Linked DNA regions of Arabidopsis thaliana. The protein of the gene in region 3 interacts with the protein of the main gene of each other region in a pairwise test. Each region holds a gene or a part of one and is shown on either strand. Other genes may lie near its edges.

The links.
Region 1: the proteins of AT4G26410 (region 3) and AT5G14240 interact in a two-hybrid assay, tested with the Arabidopsis thaliana proteins (one large-scale study listed by BioGRID).
Region 2: the proteins of AT4G26410 (region 3) and ARD4 interact in a two-hybrid assay, tested with the Arabidopsis thaliana proteins (one large-scale study listed by BioGRID).

Annotation. Positions count from the first base shown.
Region 1 is NC_003076.8:4,595,817-4,599,573, forward strand, and holds AT5G14240 (Thioredoxin superfamily protein), read right to left. Parts: upstream 1,893-3,757; 5' UTR 1,753-1,892; coding exon 1,505-1,752; intron 1,222-1,504; coding exon 1,078-1,221; intron 978-1,077; coding exon 772-977; intron 580-771; coding exon 407-579; 3' UTR 112-406; downstream 1-111. Other genes in the region: COP13 (Proteasome component (PCI) domain protein), read left to right, coding at 2,154-2,350, 2,533-2,648, 2,749-2,995, 3,132-3,189, 3,277-3,366, 3,567-3,632.
Region 2 is NC_003076.8:17,627,176-17,630,932, forward strand, and holds the start of ARD4 (RmlC-like cupins superfamily protein), read right to left. Parts: upstream 2,189-3,757; 5' UTR 1,948-2,188; coding exon 1,936-1,947; intron 1,711-1,935; coding exon 1,623-1,710; intron 1,407-1,622; coding exon 1,312-1,406; intron 693-1,311; coding exon 453-692; intron 318-452; coding exon 189-317; 3' UTR 1-188. Other genes in the region: CLH2 (chlorophyllase 2), read left to right, coding at 3,317-3,586. UniProt on the Arabidopsis thaliana protein: Catalyzes 2 different reactions between oxygen and the acireductone 1,2-dihydroxy-3-keto-5-methylthiopentene (DHK-MTPene) depending upon the metal bound in the active site.
Region 3 is NC_003075.7:13,344,622-13,348,378, reverse strand, and holds the start of AT4G26410 (chromosome-associated kinesin), read right to left. Parts: upstream 1,726-3,757; 5' UTR 1,620-1,725; coding exon 1,377-1,619; intron 885-1,376; coding exon 818-884; intron 602-817; coding exon 524-601; intron 392-523; coding exon 339-391; intron 227-338; coding exon 90-226; intron 3-89; coding exon 1-2. Other genes in the region: AT4G26400 (RING/U-box superfamily protein), read left to right, coding at 2,356-3,426.

The DNA.
Region 1 (3,757 bases), on a different chromosome or scaffold from region 3:
GCTTCATTTTGAAGGTAGTGTGCTTCTATTGTGTTGGGGATGTTTATAGTTCTTGGGTTTGGTATCTGCAGTATATTTGTGAACTGTGAAGTAGTTCGAGTTGCACATGAATGAAAACTAAAACATCTCAGTTGATTTGAGATTCTCCAAATTTGATTATTACTTTGTCCAAAACAAAGACTATTCTAAACTTACATGGATTCACAGGCTTAGATCCAGCACTAAAATTCGGCATGTGATACCTGGATATCAAAAAACAACATGAAGTTCCTGTCTCTTTCAAAAGAACAAAAGTTACAAAATGTTTAAAAAACATTACATCACACAAGAAGTCAGCACTTTTGTTTACCAGTCACCAACTCAACAAGCAATAACCAACAGAGATAAACAGAGAAGCTTTGAAGTTCTAATCACTATTGTAACCACCATCATCGTTATCCTTATCTTCGTGGTCCTTCACCACTCGTTCTATGAACTGTCTTCGAACTCCAGCCATCACAGCTTCCCTCGAGGAGTCATCGTCTCCTCCTTTGCCATCGTTAAGAACTGGCTCTGATTGACACAGAAGTAAGGCTACACCTGAAAAACCAAATCAGTTGCAAGTATGTTAGACATGTGCCTAAGACCAATCTGCTCAAAGCATGATACAATCGCCAATGTGGTCACATCAGGTCTCAGATCAGACAAAGGCTAGAGATGAGACATGACATAATCATCAAACACAAATAAGCACAGATTACATCAGACAAACAAGGGTTCATTCAAACTTACTCTCTGGGGTGCACCTACGGCCAAAGCTCTTTAAGCCTACATGAGTTCCTTTGATGGCGCCATGGTGGTACACCAGCAAGGTAGGAAGATTGCAATCAGGGTAGTTCGGAATACAATCAGTAGATATTATCTTAACGAACTTTGTTGCTGGGTATCTACTACCCAATTCGTCTAGACAACCCAATAGCAAACTACATTCTGCAACACTATCAGAGAACAACAAGAAATAAACATGAGTTAATAGTGTTTCAAGCATGTAGTAAAGAATGGCTCAACAAGAGTTCACGAATACTTGAAAAAACATACCCATCTTTATAGAGACATACAACAACCCAATCTTCAGCAGAAGCTTGCGTAACCTCCCTCACGAAATCAGAGCCCGAGATGGGAGTCACTGTTCCATATCTTTTAACTTTAGCAGCCTCTCTTAGCTCAGACAACCTCTTCTTCCTATGAAAGCATCAAAACACATTAGTGCCTGTGAATCATGAAGTGTGTTGCACAATTATGTTTAGCCTATTCATCAACATCTCAAATAAGATACTACCCTCAATTGCATTCATATCCAAAACACAAACGAATCGAGAAAAACCAGAGCTTGATAATTGCATTCCCTAGCTACATGGCAACAGATCCGAGAAAATTGAATTCACAATCCACCAAGGCAAGGATTCTCCAGGGAAAGTTAAGATTGTAAATACAAAAATCAGAATGTTCGATTCGATCTACGAACCTGTATTCTTCGAGAAAGCGATCATCGTCGAGATCTTTGTCGTCCTCAAGATCCTCAAGCTCCTCCTCTGTCTTCTTATCAAACCATGCCTGATCCTTAGGAGCTGAAGACTCGTCTTCCGCCGGAGTATACGCCGGAGGTTTGAAAGCCGGAGCCTTCTCCGGTAGATTCCCCAATTTCCGCTGGATATCATCCCATTGAGTTGACGCTCCTTCAATGTCCTTATACACGAAATGATAATCCGCCATCAAAGTATAACCACCTACGAAGCTTCAAAGAGAACCTTTGAATCTGAGAGGAGAAAAAGCAGATTGCTTTGACACTCTGTGATCGCAATCTCGTTCTTTCTCTGGAAAGACGAATGATAAAAGGCCATCCCCGAAATTGGTCTGGCTAAACCGACAATTACCATCTGGTACATTTCGAACCGGGAATATTTGGTTTAAAAGCCGGTTAGATATTGGTTTATTATTCTAGAGTAATGTATTAGACTCTTAACCGTTCGGAGGGTTCGTATATATATTATGAGAGCATGTATTTTTATGGAGAAGATCCAGAGATAATTAAACAAACAGTTTAGCAAAAGATTTTGAGAGGGAGAAAAAGGGCGATCGATTAGGGTTTTTGTGTTTTCGTCTTAGTATCGAAGATGATCGGAGCTGTGAACTCGGTGGAGGCTGTGATAACGTCAATCCAAGGTTTATCGGGGAGTCCAGAGGATTTATCTGCACTTCACGATCTTTTGAGAGGAGCTCAAGACTCGCTCCGAGCCGAACCAGGTGTTAATTTCTCTACTCTTGACCAGCTCGACGCCTCGAAGCACTCTCTCGGTTACCTGTATTTCCTGTGAGTTTTAACCTATTGGTAGATTAGGTTTTTGTTACTAGTTTGTGTATACTTTGAGGCTGATTGATGATTTTGGTTATTGGAACTTGATGTGTGTGATTAGGTCGAAGTTTAACAAGGAGAATTGTCTATGTTATTCGATTTCTGATCTTTGAGTTTTTTGTATGGTTTGATTGTTACAGTGAGGTTCTTACCTGTGGTCCAGTGTCGAAGGAGAAAGCTGCTTATGAGATACCGATAATTGCACGGTTCATCAATTCTTGTGATGCTGGGCAGATTCGTTTGGCGAGCTATAAATGTAATTTACTGACACTTAATGAGAGCTTATCTTGTCTTAATGTGTTTTCTTTTCTTTTTTCTTTGGGGAGATGGATGATGTTATTATATTGATTTTGCAGTTGTATCTCTTTGTAAGATATTGAAAGACCATGTTATAGCACTGGGAGATCCGTTGCGAGGAGTAGGGCCACTGTTAAACGCTGTTCAGAAGCTTCAGGTCTCCTCCAAGCGTTTGACTGCATTGCATCCAGATGTTCTTCAACTCTGTTTGCAGGCGAAATCGTACAAATCTGGTTTCTCCATTCTTAGTGATGATATCGTGGAGATTGACCAGCCAAGAGACTTTTTTCTCTATAGCTATTATGGGTAAGCAATTTTTCCTCATTGCTATCTGTTTTTTTCCTTTGATCAATAGATGTGTAAACACATTAAATCCATCCCTGTTGGGTTTGTTTTATAGTATTTTCTTATTCTGGTCCTTGATTACCTGGACTTTTGATAGGGGAATGATTTGTATTGGACTGAAGAGATTTCAGAAAGCATTAGAGCTTCTTTACAATGTAAGGCATTTTTATTTTTTCTTACGTGCTTTTTATACATTAAGGACTTTCGTTTTAGTTTTAACTCAACCTAAGTACTTGTATCAGGTTGTGACTGCTCCTATGCATCAAGTCAATGCCATAGCTCTTGAGGCGTACAAAAAGTACATATTGGTGTCTCTCATTCACAATGGGCAGGTAAGGCTGTGTTCTTTATATTTTACTTTCTTTGTTTATCTAGTTTTCGGTCATGGGAGCATATTGCACGAGTCTGAATCAACTGTATGTTTTTGAGAAATGTTGGTTTCACAATTACATCCTGTGTCTGATTTTAATTTCAAGCATTGGTTAATCTTATGATGTTTTTCTTATAATCTTGTTTGATTTTACTTGTGCAGTTTACTAACACTCTCCCCAAGTGTGCTTCTACAGCAGCACAGAGGAGCTTCAAGAACTATACCGGAGTAAGTTTGAACCCGATCATTAGTTGTATTTTTCATGTTTGAATGGAGTCTGGTCCCTTTTTCACTTCAGTCCAAAGATTTCAGTTGTTTTGTACTCCATACCAGCTAAATCTATTTTCAGGCTT
Region 2 (3,757 bases), on a different chromosome or scaffold from region 3:
CTGACATTTGTTTTTTAATGATACTTATTAGATAAATACACACTATTTTTTTTATGTATAAAAGCATACATCGCAAAAGTATGTTACAAGAACAACTATCCAGAAGGAGCCGCTGTTTTTATTTTACTGCTTAAGACTAAAGAGTAAACAATACATACAAATTACACAACAAGCATATATTAATATTGTTAATGTGCTTTAACGGTTTCTCCAAACTTGTAGGTTAAGCCGTGGATATACTTTTTCCTAACAGGATGTTCTTCCTGTGGCCGGTTATATGGTGTCCAAACCGGTTCCCCCACGAACAGCCTCATTAGCTGCAAAACCAAACCACCATACATCACAAACCAACAATCAAATCTTTTAACATAAGATATTAAGATGTAATATTTCATTTGCGTATTCATATAAATTAGTAAATTAGTATAGAGACTGAGTTTGGCTTTTTGTACCTTGATGTAGTTGCTGGCGTCGAGTGTGAACCGGTGGTAGATTCCGGCAGGAAGGACAATGAGATCGCCAGGTTGCATCCAGATACGGATCCAACGATCATCCTTGTCCCTAACATCAAAGTAGCCACTTCCTGCTAGGCAGTACCGAATCTCTTCGTCCTTGTGAATGTGTTCTGTGAAAAAGTTCTTCAGCTTTTCTTCGTAGTTGCTGACTTTCTCGGGACACAGATCCAGCAAATCCTAAAATGAAGATTAACCAAAGTAATCATTCTGCTTGAGAAAATTAGTTTATAGCTCATAAGTTACAATGCTACACACCACACAAATAGCTTAATTATTTTTAACGTAAACCAAACGTTTTAATGTTCCCTTAATACTCAATTACAGAGAAGCCTTCTTCCTTAATAAGCTGGTTTCTAAAATGTTTGTAGTCATACTACCCCTTAATGGTTATGCAAGATTATAGTCCTACTGTCCTATGATACATGTTTTTTTTTTTCATGAGATTAGCGTGCAGAGATAACAAGTAAAGGAACTGAAACATCAATAGCCGCTTATGGTGAGCATGAGTTAAAAAAGGGTGATCAGAAAGACATAAGCCGTAGCAAATCCTGTACTCTAATACTCATAAGGCTTCTTTCTTCATAGGCTGGTTTTGTAAGGTTTGAGTACTACCTTCATTATGTAGTCCTACACTCCTACTGTGTCTAGTATATGTCACAATCGTTAATCTCATGAGATCAACATGCAACGATATGCAACAAGTTAAAAAACAGAGACATTCAATTGGCATTTATGATGAGCATGAGTGTTCCTAAGTTAAGAAAAAACAGTGATCAGGAAGAGATAATATGCGTACCATGTAATCGTAACCCCTGTCTTCTCTAATCTTGCTAAGTTCAGAATCATTCTCGTAGTTCTCAGGGTTCAACTTCCAGTACAACACTCCCAACTCTACAAAACACAACAACTATATTTGTGATATTTGCATAATTTATGATTCTGTTAAATCTCATCTTGGGTAAATTTGACCATTTCCTTAGTTTTAAGACGGTTTACGTTTAGTTTCCTCATGTAGAATCACTACTCAATACAATAAAGCATGAAAGATTGATGTTTTTCAAAAGTTGCAAAGTAAGAGTAATTTTTAAGGTAGAGAATTGAAAAGACCTGCCAAGTAATCCAACGAGACGAGTTCTTTCGGGTTACGATGATGAGGAAGTCTCTGGTCCTCATTGCTATCATCCATAAACCATGCCTGCATCAATCAACACTTAAGCCTCAGGGAAAGAAAAAAATCTCAAGAAAAAACTTTTGATTCAATTTTCAATTTCAGCTGCAAAACGGTAAAATCAAATCCCAATTCTCAGTTCTGCCAAAATCAAATCAAATCCCCAAAATAATTCCGAAAGAGCAACGATAATCACTATTGAACGAATCGAGATTCGAAATCAGAATCTAGAACCTATGAATCAGAACTCACCTCGAGAGCCATTAATGATCTTCGTTGTGTAAATGCTTTTTTGATTTCAGACTCATCAGAGTGATGAAGATCAGATAAATAAATGGCTATTTCCTCCGTCGATGATAGCCACGTGTACGATCACTTTAATTCGTATTATTTTCCTTTCTCCTAATTTTTATTAATTCTGGTTTCGAAATTCTAATAATAAAAAATCGTTATTTTTTCTTTTGCACGAAAAAAACAACCGTTTTCGAGCCACAATGATCATGAATGAATAAGACCAAAACATTGGCTCATTTGTATGATATTGTATTTTCTGAGGTTCATATATTTCCATCTGATTTGAACTAGAATGATCTATATTCAGATATATAATTTATATTTCAAACTTGAAATTAGTTTTAACTAGAAAAAAAAAATGTAATCCAAAATCGTACATAGGTATATATATTTTTTTTCCACAAATCGTACATAGGTAATGAGGTAATGTTTAACACTTTAACTTGGGCCGTGTAATACAAATTGGGCCGTTTAACACTTTAAATTAGTCTCGAATGTTATATAATGTTTTTTTTTTTTTTAAATTGGACTAGAGAAAAAGTAGTCTAGTATGAAGTACAAAGCCCATTCCTTGTACCCAGCAACAGCATATCAATTTATTTTTTTGCTAAGAGCATATCATATCATATCAATTTTTTTCTCTTCTATATTTTAATTTTTAATACTTCTTAGTCATAAATCTTTTGACCATTTATTATTAAATTTAATCTGAAACACAAAGTAACTTTCTTACAAAAATTCAAATCTCCAATTATTTTGTTTGAATTTAAATATTTTTTAAAATTCCAAAAAATCTCATATATATAGGATCTGACTTTGTTTAAATATAGAGAAATTTAACTAGACTATAATAAAAAGACTTCATAAAATTTATTACCCAAAATTAGAAAAAATCAGGTTTCAATACTGAAAATAGACTATGAATATATGGCCTTATGATTGTAGTTGTTATATTCCATGCACACATAAGTAATTTCTTTCTATTTGATTTGTTTTTTAAAAAAAAATATTTAGAAGTTTAAATTTAAAGGTCTTATATTTTTTAGAGATGGGACACAAGTTAAATTTATATTCTTTAGAAAATAGATTCTTTTCAACAGACGTTTAATCCAATATCTACATCTGGAAGATTTATCATTACACCAACCCCAATAATATAAGTAATTTAACATAAGTAATTTTTTTCTATTTGATTTTGTTTATGTGCTCTTTAAAATTAACCAAGATTTCAACGGCCATACTTCTTATAACTTTTAATAATATCTCTACTCACCTCATTCTCATGAACCCACCAAACAAAAAAAGTAAAGAAAAGAAAAACTAATAAAGAACAAAAAAAATGTCCTCTTCTTCATCAAGAAACGCCTTTGAAGATGGCAAATACAAATCAAATCTCTTAACCTTGGACTCATCATCTCGTTGCTGCAAAATAACACCGTCTTCTAGAGCTTCACCGTCTCCGCCAAAGCAGCTGTTGGTGGCTACGCCGGTGGAGGAAGGAGATTATCCGGTGGTGATGCTCCTCCATGGTTACCTTCTCTACAACTCCTTCTATTCTCAGCTTATGTTGCATGTCTCTTCTCATGGCTTCATCCTCATCGCTCCTCAGGTTCAATTTCAATTTCCAATCATTACATTAGTTCAGGAACTAATTAGCCACTGAAATTCTTGTTTAGTTTTAGATTCCTATGTGTATTAGTAATTTAGTATAGAAATTATTTTTTGGGGGGTCAAACTAGTGTATAGTTTTTGTTTAATTAGTAAAATGTTATGAGTTATT
Region 3 (3,757 bases):
TCCTATAGATATAACAGTAGTACCCATATTAACATAAATGATGTCAATAACTTAATAAAAGAAGTGGGAGCGTCCATGTTGGGGCATACATGAGCTCAGAGAGACCACGTTTCATATCCTTCTCTGCTAAAGCCGTCCTCTCAAGCAATTTCCTGCTCTCCTTTTTCATCAAGTCTACAGACATGTTTAACTCCTGAACATGCTTCTCAGCTTTCAAGAATTGTGCCTGAAGCGACGATGATTTTGAAGTGGATGTAAAAATAAGGGAAGGGACACAGACCAGGGCAACTAAGCATAACAACGTTAAGAAATAAATTTGAAGCTGGTATAGTATATACCTCTTCGCTCTGAAATCGGCCTAGTGTATTACGAAACAAGAATCTTCTTGGGCCTGTAAGTCGAACAATAGAAAACCAAATTCATACAAGACACATATAAGTAAAACAGATGTAATACCATTTGGATGCTCCTACGGGAAGGAATCTTGTAAGTTGTAAAAGTGATAAGAGAGTAGAGGTTATACCTCGCATCAGAACGAGACTAGCAGCGACACCAATCCCAATAGCAGCAGCCGGATGCTCTTTTGCGTATATCAATTCGTCTGCGAGGATAACAAAAGCAGCAGAGGATACGAGGATTGATTAATCGGAATGACATGAAGATTCTAGTTTCAGAACACTATAAGATGCACTACAAGTATATATAAAAGTTTTGTGGCAGCTATCTGTTATATCTCAGTTTGATCTAAAATACTCGTTCCTAAGCATTACAGTAGTCTACCAGTATAACTTTTTCACGAAAATTGGCTGCAAGATACCTGTAACTTTACTGAAGAAAGCATTCTCATAGGTCTTATACTGAGTCAAAGCATGTGGAATGAAATCCTGCAATTTCAGAATCAAATGTAAGATTGTATGAGAGAAGACGAAGACATATACATACATCTAATGGAACTGTGATTTCAGCCAGATAGGGTCTACTCCATATCACACATCATTAAGCTACATGAATATCTGATATCATATAAAAACATTGTTTAGAGAATAATCAAGAATGCCTCAGCGATACATTACAGTCTTCTAAACAACCATTTGAAGCAGAATCAGAACCCAGGAAGAGACTAAGATCATTGCCAATAAGTTATAATGGTATGATTCAACAAGATTTTACCCATATGAACAAAAACTAGCACCATTCAATACATAAAACTGCTAATTGGAGAAATATCTGTTCTGAATCGAGCTCATTTCTAGAAATTATAGCTTACGAGATACTAAATTCCACCATATCCATGGTTTGAAATCCTGAAAATGTTTTTTGGTAAACAATCTCGATTCGCAAAAATTGTTTGGTGAACAAAAGAGAGATTAACTAACCTGTATAGAGCGGAACTGAGAGGTAGAATTTTCACGGAGGGAACGAGCAGAACGCATTGCGGTATCCTTCGATTCCTTCACCGTCCGTTGCAAATCACCCACCCATTTCTCTGCTCCTTCTATGGCTCCTTCCACCGATTCAACCACTCCGATCGCTGTATGCTCCATCGCATCAGAAACAGTTTCAGTCTCAATCGCTGGAGCCGAATCATCGGTAACGCCGGTTGCTTCGGTTTCGCTCATCGTCTCCGATTTGCCTTTCTCGCACGGAGACAACGCCTTTTCTCCTTCTTTCAACTTCAACCGGTTCGATTCGGTTCAATTTGATTCCAAATTAGAAGTTGGTTTTAAATGGTTAAGATAGACCCGGCTCCTTTATATATCAGTTTGCGGTTAATGGGCTTTAAGATTGGGTCTGCGAACTATACATTACATTCCCTTTTCTTCGTCTTCATCTTCGTCTTCCTTTCCTCCTTCATTCCTCTTTTCTTCGTCTCCCACCATTTCTGCAGAAGAAGACAAATAAAAAAGCTCTCATTTATCTTCGTGGAGATCTAAAAGAAGGAGGAAGACATTTCTTCCCTCTGGATCTCCAAAAGTAAGAACATTTACAAGGTTTGTTTTTGTATTTGTTTTGTTTTAATTACTCCATGAGAATTGAGAGTTTTCTTTTCATGGATTAGCCCTGATTTCTATTGTTATCTCTTTATAGAGGCAAATTTTGGTTGATCTGTTTATTCGCATTTGCATAGAAAGCTTGCGTTTTGTTGTCTGAAACTTGAGCTAATGATGTTGGTGAAGATGATATTATCCTCTTTTTAGTGAAACTTTTGGGAATACCATTCTCTTTATTTAGATCTGATGAAACAAAGGTCGAAACTTTATAGGTTTGCTTCTTCATGTTTTTTTTTTTGTTGTTCTTCTGGTTGTTTCAGAAACGAGAGGTTTGGGTGGGGAAGGAAAGAAGGAGGAAGAGGCAATGTCAGCTAGGTATTGGTGTCACATGTGTTCACAAATGGTGAATCCAGTTATTGGTGCCGAGATCAAATGCCCCTTTTGCCAAAGCGGGTTTGTCGAGGAAATGAGCCGTGAGATTAATGGCGGCAGCAGTAGCAGTCTAAGGGAGGTTCAAGACCCTGAGATTGATTTTGGTACAGACCGTGCATTGTCTCTATGGGGTCCAATCTTGCTTGGAATGATGAGTAATCCTCGTAGACGTAGAAGGTTTAGGAGGACAGAGTTTGGTGTGGATAATGATGAGGTCAATGTATCTGATGATGTTGATGGAAATGACAGCGTCGATATTGATCGACATCATCATCGTCGTCATCGCCACAGGCAACAAGGTAGAGAGATTGATTTAGACAGAGAGTTTGAGTCTATCCTTAGGAGGAGACGGAGAAGCTCAGCTACTATATTGCAGTTGCTTCAGGGTATTCGTGCAGGGATTGCTTCTGAGTATGAGAGCTCGGATCGAGACCTGTTAAATCAATCAGCTGTTGTTCAGGGTTCAACGAGTTTGAATCAAAACCGGAACAATACTTCTCTTTCTGCAATTGGAGATTACTTTGTTGGATCCAGTTTAGACCATTTGCTTGAACATCTAGCTGATAATGATTCAATCAGGCACGGGAGTCTTCCAGCACGTAAAGAAGTTGTGGATAATCTCCCAACGGTTAAGATAAGTGAATCATTGCAGTGCTCGATTTGTTTGGATGATTTTGACAAAGGAAGTGAAGCTAAAGAGATGCCGTGTAAGCACAAGTTTCACATCCGGTGTATAGTACCGTGGCTCGAGCTTCACAGTTCATGTCCCGTGTGCCGATATGAACTCCCTCCTGATGATGAGACCAAGGTTAATCCTGTAAGACCGAGAACAAGAACTCTAGAGATCAACGTAAGTAATGAGAATGTGGAAGATGATGCAAGGAACAGTAATGTGAGCGAGAGAAGGTTCTCTTTTCCATGGCCGTTCAGCGGATTATTCTCTTCATCCTCTTCGTCATCCGCATCGGCCTCGGGGTCATCTCATCTCGGTGAGAACTCGTAAACTGCTATTCCTCAGCTTATAGTACATAAAATCTTGTTCACTCAGATTGTTGAATACTGCATAACAAATAAACACTTTCGAGGAATGGAATCTTTTCTTTATTTGTATTATAATATCTGATGATCATTTGGGTTTCCGTTAAAAGTATCCCTTTTAATTTAGTAAAATATAAAAAGATGAACACAGGTATTTATGTTGAGAGGGAGAGGCATGTGACTGTGAGTATGGTTGTTGACTGCATGAATCGCATTATCTCCAAATACGAATCCCAAAGTTGTGTGATCACGAGCCAAATGTGATCACACATTTTTGTAAAATATATTCAAAAAAT